4 linked regions of the Drosophila melanogaster genome follow. The protein of the gene in region 1 interacts with the protein of each later gene in a pairwise test. Each region holds a gene or a part of one and is shown in the gene's direction. Other genes may lie near its edges.

Region 1 (5,644 bases):
CGATGGAGTTTTCGGCAGAACGGGGACTACAATGGCACGGCGGGCTCTACTGGGCGTTTTGGGCTCATCATCGGCGGCGTCGTTGTCAGAGGAGTTGCCAGCATCGCTGCTACTGCTGCTGGAGGAGGATTCCTCGTCACTGGGCCGGAAATCGCTTTCATCTCCAGAAAAATCCTCATCTGAGTCGGCCACTATTTTGGCAATCTCTGAAAGTGATAATGAATTTATAAATAATGGAAAAAATGGTAAAAGGACGCAGAAAAAGGCTACCCACGCTTCTTGACGCGGGTGCGCACATGGGCGGGAGTCTTTGGCTGATCCATGGACTTCTTGCGCTTCGTATCCGGCGTCTTGACACCCAAACGCGGCGTTTTTGGGGTCTTGGGCGTGCAGGGCGTGGCATTTAGGGCGGCCAGTGCCATGGCATCGCGTTTCTTGGGCGTATTGAAGCCAAACATGCTGGTGCCGGCCACATTGTACTCGGATTGGATGAGATGCAGATCCTTGGCAGCGGGACGGGCAGCATTTTCCGACTCCTCGATGCTTTCTTCTTCTTCCTGATCCTCCGCATCGCTGCTCCGTTCATCGGACATTTCCACATAGTTCACAACAATTCGCTCTTCCTGGCCTTTTCCATTGCTTTCCTTCTGGTACGCCTGGTATTTCTTGGTGGGACTTGGACGTCGGGTGGAACGCCGACTGGTGACCTTGGGCTGAGATTCCACTGCATTCCCAACCATTGCCGTGTTCAAGTCCTCGGATTCCTCCTCCGAATTGGTGAGGTTCTCAATGGACATGAGGTTCTCCTTCCGCGGCGTCTTGTAACCGCCTTTGTTGCTGGCACTCATGACGCTTGCCACTTCACTGGGGGCCCTGATTATCAAAATATTCAATTGGTAAACAAATAGTTCGCAAAATATACTCAATGCTCAGAAGTGGCGGGAATTATCGATAACTAAGACATGCCAAGAGTGTGGCCAGCTCTCGACCTAGGAAGTAGCTAAGTTTCTAGCGTAAAAAAAACTAAAGGGGCATGACAATTAAAACACAAATGTTATAAATATTTGTATAAATATATATTTATATAGGTAATAATTACAAAAAGAAATTCCGTGACACAGTTTTTAGAAATAACTATATTGTTCGAATAAGAATTGCATACGTTATCGATAAATTTAAATTAGAATCCAGTCACTGACAAAAGCTGAAGTGTTTGTTGGCAACACGTGCGCGTACAAAGCGGTTATTTTTTCACTGTCACAAATTCCTTGCGGATTAACCACAAACGTTTTTAAAACTAAAAAGTGTTAAAATCGGTAAGTTTAGGAAAAACAATATTTGAAGATGGGAAAATTACGCTACGTTCTTATTCTGAATTGCGGTCGTCAATGGACTTGCGGTTAATTTTCAAATAATATTGCCTATATTGGCAAAATAATAACACAAAGTAGATTTGCGTTTTCAGATATATTCAAACAGGTTCAAAGAGTATTCAACTTCCATGAAAATGGCTTGGCGAAATTGATTGTAACTGGAATATGTAGAATATTTAGCATATGTTGTGTCGTTTTAATTAAAGTTTAAAAACTTCGTAAGCCTTATTTTTCCTTTTTTAATTAACGATCAAGTTTACTTCCATCAGTGCGCTGTAAATCGAAAACCAACCGATATCGATATCGTCCTGTTCTCTTTCTTCCCACGTTCGTTCAATGCACTGAAGCGCGTGCCCAGCGAGCTTCGAATTTAAACGCGTTTAGTGAACGTATCGCATGTTTGTGAGTTGTGAATCGCGCACTTAAATTCTAAAGGATTCCACCTTTTTCAAAACGAAAACATAGAAAGTTCTCGTCCAGCGTAAATAGATTTTCACTTTGTATTTCATCGCGTGCTAAAAGTTCTGTTAGCGCCATTTTGCTGCGTTTCCTTTAACGCGCCGTTCTTTCATTCACACGTTCTTGCGTTGTTACTTTGAATTGAAGAAATGGAAAAGTCGGAGGAAAAGACATGCGTCGTCTGTGGCACTCCGACCAGATTGATGTGCCAGCGGTGTGGAGAACCGTACTGCAATGAAAAGTGCCAGAAATTGGATTGGCAGAGGCACAGGCAGGTGTGCATCATTATGCCGTGAGTTAAATTAGTAAATCCGTTGCGCAGCAGTGCATTAAGTTAGGGGTTTTTAATTCTTATACAATACAAATGCGTTTCCAGACCCTTGGTGGAGTGCCGGCCTCTTCAACCGGCGTTGAATCCAATCCAGAGCGTAGAGAACCAAGTTGCTCTGGCTAAAACTCGCACTAAATCGCCAATCCCATGTGTGGAGCCCACAGTTGCTGTGCCGAACAAGCCGGATCTATCGGAAAACTGGCGCAAACATTTGCTGCCGTCGGGCATGGAGTTTTTCAAGTGCCGCGTGACTTTCATGGAGAACGATGGACCCATTTGGGTGGTGCACGTGGCGAATGTGGAGGCCATTGAGCGAATGACGGTCAACATGCAGCGCTGCATGCAGAATAAGAAGATGATTCGTATGGAAGGAGTGCGGGAGGACACCCTCGTGGCCATCAGTGTGGGCGACAAGGTCCATCGCGGTCATGTTTTGACGGTTTGCCAAAAGAAGCAAGAAGCCAATGTCCGTATGATTGACCACGGTCAGATAGTAGCTACACCGTTTCGGGATATCTACACCATTGTGCCCAAGATGGCCGAAAGCAAGGCGTTCGCTTTCCGTGTTCAATTGCCCACGAACACTGGAGTTCAGGACATTAAGAACTTGACGCTCCGTATGTTGGGAACCAAAACCAGCGACGGAGCTTATCACGTCCATCTAAAGCCCAAGATGATAATACCACTAAGTTTGCCCTTGGAGATGCTGCAGCTTAATCCAGAAGTCAAAGTCATCCGGGTCTTTAAGGCAAATCCAAAGCATAACGAACCGCAGCTGGCCCTACTCCAGATCAACGTGATGGGCCATGTCAACGCAGACTTAAACAACCGCATAGCCGAGAAGCCAAGACAGCCATTCACGCTGCCCTTCCCCGAGCAGAAATCCATCTTCTTTGCGGCCACCCGCACTAAAAATGGTTATCGGCGAGCTTTCCTATTGGATCATATCATGAAACCGAGGCCAACCTATTTGGTTTACGAAATGGACGAGGGTAGAGTGTCCATAGCCACCGATCTGAGTCGTATTCCCAGCGAACTACTTGGCCTGCCCAGTCGAGTGTTTGCCGCTCAGCTGGAGGACTCCGTACCCGAGGAGCTTGAGACTCAAGGTGCAGAACTCACGGTCAAGTTTAAGCTGGATAATAAGCCGCCCAAGGAAAAGTTACGCGCGGCGAATGCCGCCTTGAATTCCAAGGGCGAGCAGATATGTATGGCCCGTCTGATCACTTTCTTGGGTCAGATTTCATATTTAGGCCACAAGTACTGGCGTGAACCCATCGTCCATGATTCCATCGTATTCATTTCCCACTTGGTCAGCTTTAAGGAGGTATACATCAGCACTCCAGACGCCAAGCAGTATGCGGAAATTTTCAAGCGCCTGGAGTACAAGTGCGCTACCATTACCAAATCTAGTGATGTTTCCGTTGGCAGCATCGTGCTCGTTGTCTCCAAGCAGATGGGTCACTTCCGGGGCGAGGTTTGTCGATATTTATGTTGCAGGGTTTCAATCAGTAAAGTCTATGAACTTTTCGAATTTTACAGATATTGAGTAAGGATAGTGGATTGTTCGAAGTAATGAACGTTGATACTGGTGCCACCCAAAAGGTGGAGTTGGCGGAAATACGCAGCTCCTGTCGCTTCCTGGAGAATTTGCCCGTATGTCTGATGCGTGTACAGTTGCAGAATGTCTGCAATATTCCGGATGCAGCTGTGCCAGTTAACAATGCGGCCATTCAAATGCTGCACAAGCTCTGCGCCCAAAAAGAACTGCTAAAATTGAACATGGTAGATGCAACTACATCGACCGTGGACCTGCTGTTCAGCTCCGGCGATTCGCGCTCCTTGACGACCCAAATGTTGCCTCTTATATTTACACCGGTACAGGAAAAAGCAGAAGTTGCACCACCGAAGGCTGCTTCTACTCCGAGTCAATTGCCTGTTGTAACTCACAAACAGCAGAAGGTGTCTCCACAGTCTCTACTTCTGCTGGATCTGCCTCCACTGCCGCCCTCTCCACCGGAGTCGCCTTTTCCTGCCGACGTGACAAGTACAAAGTCAGCTTCCCACGTTCTGCCCATTAAACGCTTCCTTTTCGACGCTTTGCCCAAGAATCTAGCTCCTTTAGGCGACAAGGTCAACCTAATCCTTATGAACGCTGACGGATTGCCGCAAACTGGCTACATCACCGCCGCCTACTTCAAGGACGAAAAGGCGGCCAAGGAATTTGAAAAAATCCTTAGCTTGACATCAAGTCAGGGAGCATGTGACCACAATGTTGTTCCGGGTTACGTACCAAAGTAATGCGCTTTCGATATTTGCTTGTCCTTTTCTTAACACGCACTTTATCCCAATTGCAGCGTTGGTGAACTGTGCCTGGCGATCTACAGCGAAGATAAGAACTGGTATCGCGGAGTCTGCCAGGAGGTTAAGGACAATATGGTCAAAATTCTATTCTGCGATTTTGGAAATACGGAATATGTGGCCGTGAGACACGTGAAACCGATTTCACAGGATTTGCTAATTGCCGTCAATGTCACAAAGTGCTATATAAATGGTATGCGCATAATCGCATTCAATTTTTGCCCGGATCACCATTAATAAACACTTCGTTGCAGGCTTCGACAAATCAAAGAATTTTGCGGCTCTGGAGCAGTTTCTTGTGCGTAAGATTCGATTCTTATGCGGAGTTAAGAAAGGCCCTGAACCCGATACTCGTCTCATTACAATTCCGGATATGGAGACTATTCTAAACACACCAGTTGCATAATTTAACTTAAGAACTCGCATTCCTTCATATGACTTTAGCATTAAGTGTACACCAAAAGTGTATGTTCAAACATTATTTCGATATTCGATATAAGTTTCGACCACAGTGTATTTTCGAACATGATTTTGACAATTATTCGCTTACATTTATTCCAGCACAGAGTGATTCGACTAAGAGACTTGACACCATATAAAGATGTTGATCGTTCATACAGAATTTCTTTAATTTGTTTCATTGACTAGAATTTGTTTTTACCGCACAGAAACTCCAATAAGTAGGCTACACTTAAGAGAAGAGAGAAGAAATATCATCCATTCTTGTTATTTGTTATCTATTTTTTATTATGGGATACGGACAATTCTAGCTAACCCCAGATGTGGTGGCATTCGTACTTCCAAACAGCAGCTATAATCCTTTTGTAGATTGTTACTTAATTTAAATGAATGTTTTACACGTTCGCCGGTTTCATTTATTAGCAAATTTTCTTGTAGTAGTTTCTATGCCTACAAATTCGACTGACTCGTAGTGCAATTACATCAAATCAATTACAACAGCAATAATGGGTTTACAACAAATAACATAATAACAACACTCATTGCTCGGCCAATTTGGCCAGCAGCTCATCCACAACATCGACATTGCGCACAGAGATTATACCACCCGCGTTTCGCTTCCAATCGGCATCGGCTTCAGCATCCTCAATCAGGTACTTCA
Region 2 (3,715 bases), on another chromosome or scaffold:
TGTCTTTTGTCTGGTTATCCTAGTCGCTGTTACCCTCCGTCTCGTCGTCCAGCAGCAAGCTTGTCGAACCATAGCTACGGAGTCTGAAATTTAAATCACAAATAGTTATTATATTTACCTAGAATTATACATTGATTAGTAAAACCAATACATGCAGTAAAAGGATTAGTGATGCTAAAACAAATCAAACCAATAATGTGATGAACACAATAACTAACAAAGCATTAGTTTACTCAAGTGATAACAATCGTTTCTGCTCCTCTAATCTCACCTCATCGTCGGACACCTTGAGACCATCTAGATTAATGCTGTTTCTCGCATATCCAGCGCCTGCAGACTGCTCCTTCTCGTACAGCTGTCGGTTTAGCTCATCCTTACTGGAAACGGAGCTGCTGCCTCCATTTGTGGTTCCCTTCAGGGGCAGCGCTAGATTCGCTCGACTGGCACTGCTGCCTGCGCTGCCATAACGTCCGTTTCCGGATCGCTGCCTCTGGTGATGATGATGGTGCTGTCCGTGAGGATTATCGAATTTCTGCTTGGCCCGCTCGAACTCCAGATTCCGTGACTTCGACTCAAATATATTCTCCTCCAGATGCGTGGGCTTGGCATCAAAAAAAGCAGCTGCTGCCGCTGCCGCCGCCGCTGCAGATGCCGCAGCACTACTCTGCTGCTGCTGCAGGAGCGTTCGTTCCGTGTGACTAGATCTCTTTACGGAAGCAGCATGATGCATAGCGGCATCGCTGCCATTGTGGGAGCTCCTCAAACCTGCCTGCGAGTCATCAAAGATCTGGCGAAGATCATTGATATTCGGCAGACAGTCGTTGGGCAGCTCCACGGCAATCTTATTCCTCAATTGCACCCCGCCCATGCCCCGCAGCTGGGGACTGGGAGCACGTCTTTTTCGTTGGGTTAAGCGTGGGTTAGGAGTTAGGTTATTAGTCAAGCCAGCACCAGTTGAAAAGTTAGTGGTTATTAGAGTTAGTCCACAGACTTAGCGGTATGCAAATCTAAATGTTTCTTTCGAACTGATCTTACCTATTCTGGAGGTGCTGAATCTGCACCTGTAATCCTTCCGTCTGACCCACCAGCTCATCGTTGGAACGCTGCAAGCGGCGCACTTGGTTAACGGCCGAATCCAGTTCGTCCTCAGCACCAGCTAACTCCCGCTTCAGCTCCTCCACACGCTGACGCAGACGCTTCACCTGCAGGAAAATAGAGAAAAGTAGTGATGTAGCTACATATGTGGATTCAGATTGGTATATTACATATTTGTTCTGAACGCATAAGATGCATCTGTACCCAAAACTCGAAGCACAAAGAGCAAGGGGGCGTGCCTTCCAGTCTTCAAACACAACTGATAAGCAGACGACCCCCGCCAAGTGGTGATAACGCTTAAAATGGAAAAATATTTCCTTCCACACTCGCTTCACTCTTGGTTTCTATCGTCAAGTGAAATATAAGCGCGATAGTGCGAAAAATTTAGAACCCGCAGATTAAGATCGGGCATAACAACAATATTAAAGCGAGGTAAACAAAGTTGGCGAAGAAGAGCGAAGAGAGCGCGCGAAGAGCGGGCAGCCAAAAGCTCTCGCTGTAGATTTAAGCTTTCTTCAGTCTCTCGCCGAACGTCGAATCGAGCAGCTGTTCCGTGGAGAACCGGCTGATCACTTCCAACAGAAAAGACAGAACCGAATCGGAATTATGATTGCGCAAAGTGTAATCAGCAAACTGCGACCGTGTGCCCGCCGCTTGGCCAGCACGAGCTCCAAAGCCGCAGCTCCCAAATTCAACTGGCAGGATCCGCTGAATTTGGAGAGCCAATTGACCGAGGAAGAGGTGGCCATTCGGGATGCGTTCCGTGGATACTGTCAGGCCGAGCTGCAGCCGCGCGTCAAGATGGCCAATCGCCTGGAGACGTTCGACAAGAAAATTATGGAGGAGATCGGCAGTCTGGGTGTCCTCGGCTGCACCATTAAGGGATACGGCTGCGCCGGAGTCTCTAGCGTTGCCTACGGCTTGCTCACCCGCGAGGTGGAGCGCGTGGACTCCGCTTATCGGTCTGCTGTCAGTGTCCAGAGCTCGCTGGCCATGGGCGCCATCTACGACTTTGGATCCGAGGAGCAGAAGCAACGCTATTTGCCCAGCATGGCGGAGGGCAAGCTGATTGGTGAGTGCCAAATGAATAAAATCATATTTTAATGAAATATTGAGTGAATTATATAAAGTCCCGTAGTTTATATGTGTTCTCTTTAAACGAATCTCAATTTCTTTACATATTTATTCAGGTGCCTTTGGCCTAACTGAACCCAACCACGGTAGTGACCCCGCTGGCATGGAGACCCGTGCCAAGTACGATAGCAAAAGCAAGACATACATCCTGAACGGATCTAAGACGTGGATTACTAGTGCGCCCATCGCAGACGTCATAGTCGTATGGGCAAAATGCGAGGATGGCAAGGTACGCGGCTTCCTGGTGGATCGCAAGATATCCGGCAAGGGTTTGGAGACGCCAAAGATCGAGGGCAAGTTCTCTCTGCGTGCTTCGCCCACGGGTATGATCCTGATGGACGAGGTCCGTGTGCCAGAGGAGCAGTTGCTACCCAATGTGGCCGGCTTTAGTGGACCCTTCAGCTGTCTGAACAACGCTCGCTATGGAATCGCGTGGGGAGCCCTGGGAGCAGCTGAAACCTGCGTGGAGATTGCTCGCCAGTATACACTGGATCGCAAACAATTCGGTCGTCCTTTGGCTGCAAATCAGTTGATCCAAAAGAAGCTGGCCGATGCCATCACAGAGATTGCGTTGGGTCTGCAGGCTTGCCTGCATGTGGGTCGCCTCAAGGATCAGAAGCTGCACACGCCCGACATGATTTCCCTTCTAAAGCGAAACAATACTGGCAAATCGCTTGATATAGCGCGCCAAATGAGGGACATGCTGGGTGCAAACGGAATCAGCGACGAATATCATGTGATCCGCCATGTAATCAACCTGGAGTCAGTTAACACCTATGAGGGCACGCACGATATACACGCGTTGATCCTGGGCCGAGCCATCACCGGACTGGCGGCATTTGCTAACTAATGTACTTGTTTCGAAAATCATAAAGTACTGCATTTACCAATTTGTTTTATGTCGAAGTGTCAATGTGAATAAATGTTAATCAAACCGAATTCGGTTCGGCGAGGAAGGCTGTTACATCTTTAAGTTTTCCTAGGCTGATAAGCTGATACGCGTAATCTGATCCATATATCATCTGATAAGATTTTTGGATGTGGATTTACTCACCTCCGCCTCATACTGCTCGGCTCGCCGCACGGCGTGTCCCAGCTCTGTGTTTGTTTCGGCCAGCAACTTCTTTAGCTTGGCGTGCGACATCTTCACCTCGCTGATCTCCTTGTTGCGCTCCGAAAGTTCCTGCTGCAATGCTCGCAGCTCCACGTCATTAGCTTGCATGGGTCGGCACTTACGGTCCGAACGTTCCTGATAATCTCGCAGTTCTGCGCGCAGTTTCTTGTTGTCACGCTCCATGGCCAATTTCTCGGACTCCAGTCGCTCGCGCTTGCCCCATTCGGAGGCGTTCTCCGCCTGAAGGTGCTCCAGTTCAGTGCGAAGCTCCGTGAGGCTGCAATGAATCGATAGTTACACTCTTGTCAAAGTACAGAATGCGTATTTGCTTACCGGCGCTCGAGATTCTCACGGGCAGCAATCTCCTCCTGC
Region 3 (4,927 bases), on another chromosome or scaffold:
GTCTGCCAAGCTTAGCTTCCAAGCGGGGGGAAGTCCAGCAATTAGAAAGAAACTGGTGCACAGCCCACCGTTGATGACTAAATCAGCTGGGATTTCGTGAAATTAGCTTTTTATACTAAGCGCTTGGCTGAAAATATATGCAAATGGGATTTTAAAAATATTTTTCAGGCGACATTGTGTCTCGCCGAACCTCGATTGCTGCCCATTAAAAATGCTAATTTCAAATATTTTTTAGCAGAAAGCAAGAAATAAATTAGCCACAAAATGCTAAAAGCAGAGGCCAAATAAAAACGATTTTAACTAAGCCACCGAACTCGCTAAGGGTGAGACAAATTAAATTGAATTTGATTATTATATAAAATAAAATAGGTAAGAAGAAAATTCGCGACCATTTCTAAAATATGCAGTCAAAGTTCATTCGATGAAGACGAATTGTAATTTTCATAGATTTATTTGAGCCTAAACGCCGTTCAGTTTGAATGAGTGCTTATCACAAGTACACAAAAACTAAAGAAATATTACTTATATTGCTAATTGATAAGGTCTTTGAATATTAAATGTGTTTATTAAACTGTGTTATTTAAACTACGCAGCAATTCACAAGTAAGTCTTTAAACAAATTAAGCTAGGAAATTTAAATAATACATAAATGGAAACTCAACCAAATATAGAAAATAACAGGAATAGAACTAATATTTACAATATTTCTTAACAAGATAAAAAACCATAACAGGAACAGAACTAATATTTACAATATTTCTTAAAGAGAAAAAAAAACAAAGTGAGAGAAAAACTTGATGACGAAAGCGTCGGCATCCACGTCAGCAAAGCCAAAGCAACTGCAGTTTCCGCTTCCCCTTAATTTTGTTTTGTTTTCGCTTCGTAGTAAAACGTAAAAACGAGAATAAAACCGTGAGCGGGAGCGGGAGCAGCAAGTGAATTTTTTCACGCTGGGTGGAAAAGGCGCGCGAACGTGACGGAACGCCGGAAAGTTGTGGAACAGGCGATGTGAATGAATTGTGGAACGCGTTTGTGTAGAAGGCCTTACACTTATGCTAATGTGGAACCCAGAGTGCGGATCAACGAACGATCCGTGCGCGAAGAGAGCGGGAATAGTTTAAATTCCAGAAAATGCACATTTGTACACATACATACATACATAATTGCCTTGGAAGTTTACGACAGCGACGTTGTCCACAATTTCATTTTATAGATGGGGGCGTGGCACTGATGCATGATCTTGATGGAATTATGTACCTATGTATGTATGTATGTAAATGTAAGCAAGATTCGTTGCAGTAACAACAAATAAGTGGATGAAAACAAGTGCGTCACTTACTCATTAATAAATAAATAATTAATGGGCGGCGCATTCGAAATGTAAAAGAAAACGCAAATAGCTTGCCCACTCGCGGCAATAACGGAACCGTGACTTGCAAATCGGTGAAATGAATAGGATATGCATAACTGTTTTTTCGAAAGACCTGCAAATAATTCAAGAAAGTTCCAGAAATACCCAAATTTAATAGCTATCCAACATTAGGGTGACAATAACGTGTTTCAACAGATGCAATATATACGCAAAATCAAAGAAAAACAAACAAAACCCGTTAAAAACTAATTATTTAAAAAAGAATACAAAAATATAAATTTAAAGCTAACTTAATAAAAAATAACATAATTTTCCCATTATTCATGTGTCGATTAAAACTCAAATGAAAATTCTTACACTTCTCCGCACTCTTTTTTACCCCATAACTCTCTATCTCTCTTCCAGTTCTCCGCGCTCACGATTTGGTAACTGTGGCCCAATGCCGCCGTTCCCAGTTTAGCGCGCTCTCCTTGCCTTTTCTTTCGCCTTTTCGACTCATTTCGAATCGGAAATTTGACGGGTTCGGTCGTAATCACGGATACAAATTTGACGCCCTGTTGGAAAAACCACAACGTCCAATTTTCCTTTTATCGCGCCAAAAAGAAATGCGAGTAAGACCCGAGTCTTCGTGTATACGTATAATTACCATTTGCAATCACAAAGGTTTTGCAACTGTCGCCGGGCGGTGAAAACTCAAGTGAATAAATATCGCAAAGTGAAGCAAATAAAAAAATATTACAAAAACCGGTAAAACGAAATGAAACTGAAATGAGTGAGGGCAGCAACTTCAAGTGACGAAAGCAATCCGTTTACCGTTGTCTTTGCCTCTTCATCCTCCCCGAGAACGGCGGAGAACGCGAAAAATATCATGAAATGTAAAAGCTGGTCCAACAAAATTAACAACTACGTTGTGCGCAAAATAAAGTCTATCAAGGTAAATAGTGTCTTAAAAAGGTGCGGTGTTTGGCCCTGATACATATATACTTATATTTATTTAAATTTTGATTAAGTGAATATATCTTATGAGGCTTATGAGACTTGTTAAGGTGTTAAAAAATAAGTTTATAGCATAGATATGGGGTAATGCGAAAGTACAATTTGTTAAAGTTGTTTTTAATTAAAATAATTTAGTAAAACTTTTTTTACAAACTACAAGTAATGCTTTCGAGAAAATACCTCCCATCAATTTTATCGTTAAATTACACAAAATTGTTCTTGGAAAAAAAAATTGAATTGGTTGTACAAATTTTTGTTTACAAAATACAAAAGCTGCAAAATAATTTATTGACATGAAATAATGAAATACTCATAAAGCTGTGAAATTTAATGTTTGAGCTATATAGCAAAAAAAAAAAGTATTTTTACTTTTTGCAATTCTTGTTACCAATAAATTTAAATATTTCCGTACATTTCATCTAAAAAATTTCCATTGACAACACATGCTGGTATAATATATAAAGATCAAAGCCATAAACTCCTCACTAAGTGGGCAATAAAATAAGATAATTCAACGACTGTCTGTATAACAACCACTTTAAAAGCTATCTAGATGGAGTTGATTATGAATACATTTTCAGATGCTTATATTACTCGACATAAATAGGCAGTGGATGTGTATAATTATTTTGCAGGCACCCGACAACGAAAATAAAATGCATAAAAAAGTTTAATGAAGCCGCAGGGGTTGACTAAATTTATTTAACAACTGCAGTTCATTGCCTCGCAAATTGCTTGATACTTTAAAAACAACAACAAAAATTCACAGCAAAAAAACACAATGATTCCAGCTGGTTTCTAAACAACAATTTATTGTGGTTTCTTTTACTTTTAATTGCTATCTATTAGCAGCAACCAATAAATGAATTATTTATTTTATTTTCTCTTGCAAGCAGCCAAAAGTAAAATTATGCCCCTCTCTCTCCCGATCCGAGTTCATCACTTTGTCTTCTTTTAGCTGTTTTTATTTTGCAAATAACTTGAGTAGTGGATGGGAAACAACGCAAAGGCCTTTCACTTGCATGTCTGTTGCTCGGTTTGTTGTCATTAGGTTTACTGTTGTTGTTGCACACACTCATCCGCTTACATACCTCGTTTATATACTTATTTACATTTGAAGTTGCCGTCGTTGGTATGTTTTACTACGTATCAGCTTGTCCGCTTTGAGCTGCCCCTTCGCTTTTCAAGCATTTTGTTTTGTCCGCTCTGTTTTTCAGCTATTCCAATTCTCTTCCTTCGTTGCCCTGTGTATGTATTCGTAATCGGGTTCGGATTCTTGTTTATTTTTACACCACTTCTCTTTCTCTTTCGCACGAAAATTCCTCGAATTCTTTTTTATCCATATTTTCCTTTTCCAGCGGGAAAAACGAGTTTTTCCAGCAGCGCCGCATTCTTAGCCTGTCGCCTTGTCTCTTTCCCACTTTTATAGTGTCTCCGCTTCTTGCTTGTTTACAGTTAGGAATGCGGTCGTCTCCCCTCTCTCTCTCTCTCTCTCTCTCTCTCTCACTCTCTCTCTTCAAAAAGAGCGTGCGCTCTCTTTGGCCTTATGTAGTTGTGTGGATTTCGACTGAAACTTGTTTTCGCTTTGCCCCGTCGTGTTTATTTATAAAAAGTCACTGGCAAACAATTACAGTGCAACAATTACGCTCTCAAAAGTGGCGCGCAACTTGTTCGCCTTGTAAAAAAAATTGTGACGCCAGCGGCGACACGACTGCGCTGCTTTGGCCCCATTTAACTGAGAGCGCCGAGGGTTAGCTTGGCGGGGGCGGCAACGCCAAAGAGAGTTCTCTCGGGTGGCGCTCGTCTCCCATCGGTTTCGCTGCTCGAGCCAAATGCTTGGAAGTCAAAGTCTCGCCCGACCATAGTTTCTTATTGGATTTCAAACCAGTCGCTTCGTGCACGCGGCGTTCGACTACGCACACACACACACCCATAGCGCGCTGGCATTGATATACATACACAGGCAAATACACGACGCCCCAAGTTCGTGTGATGTAGTGCTGTAGTGGTGCGATTAAATAATACTCCACAAAAGGCCAAATAAATTACATAAAATCTAAATCGGAATAAAAATAAGTGTATTCTCCCTCCGTGTTGTGTTCAAAGTATTTAACCGATTGTTTTCATTAGTCAAATTAATGTAGTACAACGTATGAGTGTGAGCCAGTTCCTAGAAAAATAAGAGGGCATAAAAAATAACAGACACATACAGCGTCTCGTTTCTTATAAATTTTCCTACTGCGTCGGAATTATTGTCTTGATTATTGTTGTTTCTGGCGAACTTTTGTGATTTGTTTCGAGAAACATACTGCGGCGGTTTCATAATTGTGCAAATCAAGGGAAGCACAATACGAATGTTAAGAATCAAAGCTAAGAATTAAATAAAATTAAAGCCGCACACATACATATACACAGGCACGCGCAGAGTCGAAAAAATACGCGCGCTCGCTCTGTACAGTGTGTGCGTGTACGCGGTGGCTGGCTCTTCTTCTTCATTCGTGTGCCCATTGGAATTTGTACCCCAAATCGAAATTACAACATAGACAAACAAAGAGCGCC
Region 4 (2,969 bases), 7.3 Mb from region 1:
TAAAAAATGGGTTCAATTATACACACTTACTTTGTTGTACTTTCCAAAAGAAAAACAACAAAATTGAATAAGAAGACTCCAAGTTTAAGGAAAATAGTAATTAAAATTGGCTTGGCGTAATCAATTAAGTGCAGCTGGTTATTTCGACCGATCGAAATTGGCAGAACTGAAGAAGGTGCGTGACAATTTTTACATGCCACCGGCGCCGCTCGAGGTGATGCGCCAAAAATGAATTCCAATTAGGTGTCATCAATGTCACCAAGTAGCGTATAAAATAAACGGCCCACAATGGGTCAGACATTCAGTGTTTGGCTTCGGCTCAAGACAGCAGTTAATCAAATTCATCCAACTACAATGGCAGCAAAGGTTTGTGCTACCAATTGGAGGATAAACGTTCCGGGGGACTACTAGTGGATTACCAGACTGCCTTCGCCTTTTTATCTTGGAAAAAAAAATCCTAAAAAGAGTGTAATTTATTCCGCAGATTGTTATCGCTTTGGCTCTGTTCGCCGTGGCCCATGGCGCCGTCCTTAGAACTGCTGCTCCAGTGGCAGTGGCTTCTGCTCCGGTGCCAGTTTTGGCCAAGACCGTTGAGTTGGAGGAGGTTGATCCGCATCCTCAGTACACCTACAGCTACGACGTGCAGGACACGCTTTCCGGCGACAACAAGGGGCATGTGGAGGAGCGCGATGGTGACGTGGTCCGCGGCGAGTACTCCCTGATCGACGCCGATGGCTTTAAGCGCACCGTGACCTATACCGCCGATTCCATTAACGGATTCAACGCCGTCGTCCGCCGTGAACCCCTTGCCGCTGTTGTGGCCGCCGAGCCGTTGCTGAAGGTTGCTGCCCCATTGGTCAAGGCCGCTCCAGTCGCCCCCATCGCCCCTGTCGCCTTGGCCGCACCAGCTCCCATTGTGCGCTCCGCTCCAGTGGCCGTCGCTGCTCCTCTGATCAAGTCCGCTCCCCTAGCAGTTGCCGCTCCGTTCGTCCGCTCCGCCCCTCTGGCGGTGGCTGCTCCCGCTCCCGTTCTGCGTACCGCTGCCTATGCCACGCCTCTGCGGTACACCGCCCCTGCGTACACCGTCGCCCAATTGTAAACACCCATGCGACCGCTGTTATTTTGAACCCTTGTTTTGTTTCTATGATAATAAAATGTGATTTGATATGTTAATTTGAATTGTGGTTTTATTTGGGCTTAGAAATTAAGTTATATTTTTACCAACTCAATTGAAATTCAGTTCAAGCATATTTCAAAGCTTTCTTAATTGTTCCCATGATTTGACTAGTATCCGTAAAAACTCTTATTTAATCCATCAGTTTGCTTTTAAGCAGACTAACTTATTCTTGATTCTTGAAGTGTGCATTGAAATATATTTATTATTATCGTCTAATGTGCTTTTCAATTCAAAGTATGTAATCAGTGTAGGTCAGTTCCAAGCGTTTTGAGCTGCCCGGTAACATGATATACCACTCAAGGCAGAATGGTGAAAGCATTTAATTCGCAATAGGCACCAAAATCCGAGGGTCTCTCCCAAGACACTAAGCCGCACTAGATTTGGATGCGGATTGCATAAAAGTATCTCTGGCCCCCGGCGTGGGCAGTTGTAAGTGCCCATATTCCAGTCGATAAAGTAATAAGGTAAATAGCATAGCGGTAATACAATAATAAATGTATAAAATAAAAAGTGACAAAAATGATTTGCCCAACAGCGAATTAATCAGTTTCAATTCGTTATTCGCATTTTGCTTTGCACACGTTCAGTGGGTATAAAAAGCAAAGCTCGTGTTCCAGTAAATCATTCCACAGCTTCACCGTCTTCGCAGCAGTTAACGGATAACCACCACCAGCCCTCCTCCAAGTCCAGAGCCATGGCCTTCAAGGTGGGTAATCCTTACATGAATATCCGATCCTTTCAATTACCCCTCTTTTCTCCCACAGTTCTTCGCTGTTCTCGCCCTCATCTCGGCCGCCAGTGCCGGAGTTCTTCCCGTCCAGCAGGTGTATCACGCCGCCCCCGCCGTGGCCACCTACGCCCAAGCACCTGTCGCCGTTGCCCACGCCCAGCCGGTTCTGACCAAGGCCACCGAGGAATACGATCCCCATCCCCAGTACAAGTTCGCCTACGATGTCCAGGACTCCCTTTCCGGAGACTCGAAGAGTCAGGTTGAGGAGCGTGATGGCGACGTGGTCCATGGCGAGTACTCCCTGATCGATTCCGATGGCTACAAGCGCATTGTCCAGTACACCTCCGACCCGGTCAACGGTTTCAACGCCGTCGTCAACCGCGTTCCCCTGGATCACGTGAAGACCGTGGTGAAGACCGTGGCTCCTGTGGCCGTGGCTGCTGCCCCTATCCCAGTGGCCTACCACCAGCACCACTGAGGAACTCTCCTACTGATTTGTTGAATCCGTTTGTAGATCAAATAAATTGTTGAATATTTGTAAGCTGAAAGAAATCGAAACGCATTTTTCTTTACGTCTTGTAAGGGATCTCGCTCATTAGCAGGCATTAGTCAATCAAAATATTATACATATATTTATATATTGTATTGTTAAAGTAAATTCGTAATATTGAAAAAATCTAAGAATTACAAGTTACACAAAAGCACCCAGTAAGCAACTTAGATGACCATCAAGTGGGAGCCCGCCTGGTACCAACGAAAAACGTCACTGGAGCTGCTTACTCTGCATCACCTTGGCTCCTCTTAAATCCCTCTCCAGCATATGCACTTTGTAATCAATTTTCTGCCGGTAATAAGTCATTAAGGGCCCAAATTGATCAGGCGTTCGCGTCCGACCCATTTTACACCAATCAACGAAAATTGGGGTAGACATCCGATCGGAAAGAAACGCATCGATCGGAACATTTCAATAAAACCATCTGCGTCGAAGGCTTATTGAATTTAATGCATGTAATGCGGTCCGCTCTTGAAAACCAGTTAAGGTCACTATGCTGCAGCTTTGAA

What was found.
Region 2: the proteins of Kots (region 1) and CG9547 interact in a two-hybrid assay, tested with the Drosophila melanogaster proteins (one large-scale study listed by BioGRID).
Region 3: the proteins of Kots (region 1) and Pdk1 interact in a two-hybrid assay, tested with the Drosophila melanogaster proteins (one large-scale study listed by BioGRID).
Region 4: the proteins of Kots (region 1) and Ccp84Af interact in a two-hybrid assay, tested with the Drosophila melanogaster proteins (one large-scale study listed by BioGRID).

What each region holds. Positions count from the first base shown.
Region 1 is NT_033777.3:13,960,212-13,965,855, reverse strand, and holds Kots (kotsubu), read left to right. Parts: upstream 1-1,681; 5' UTR 1,682-1,981; coding exon 1,982-2,124; intron 2,125-2,208; coding exon 2,209-3,640; intron 3,641-3,705; coding exon 3,706-4,460; intron 4,461-4,520; coding exon 4,521-4,717; intron 4,718-4,778; coding exon 4,779-4,930; 3' UTR 4,931-5,144; downstream 5,145-5,644. Other genes in the region: Orc2 (origin recognition complex subunit 2), read right to left, coding at 1-206, 275-848; Ipp (inositol polyphosphate 1-phosphatase), read right to left, coding at 5,523-5,644.
Region 2 is NT_033779.5:6,492,425-6,496,139, reverse strand, and holds CG9547 (uncharacterized protein), read left to right. Parts: upstream 1-1,607; 5' UTR 1,608-1,701; coding exon 1,702-2,167; intron 2,168-2,285; coding exon 2,286-3,079; 3' UTR 3,080-3,166; downstream 3,167-3,715. Other genes in the region: CG31638 (uncharacterized protein), read right to left, coding at 75-83, 272-896, 1,036-1,202, 3,284-3,620, 3,677-3,715.
Region 3 is NT_037436.4:127,583-132,509, forward strand, and holds the start of Pdk1 (Phosphoinositide-dependent kinase 1), read left to right. Parts: upstream 1-1,867; 5' UTR 1,868-2,240; coding exon 2,241-2,306; intron 2,307-3,147; exon of another isoform or gene 3,148-3,989; intron 3,990-4,229; exon of another isoform or gene 4,230-4,927.
Region 4 is NT_033777.3:6,689,089-6,692,057, reverse strand, and holds Ccp84Af (Ccp84Af), read left to right. Parts: upstream 1-1,818; 5' UTR 1,819-1,871; coding exon 1,872-1,883; intron 1,884-1,941; coding exon 1,942-2,385; 3' UTR 2,386-2,456; downstream 2,457-2,969. Other genes in the region: Ccp84Ae, read left to right, coding at 355-366, 485-1,099.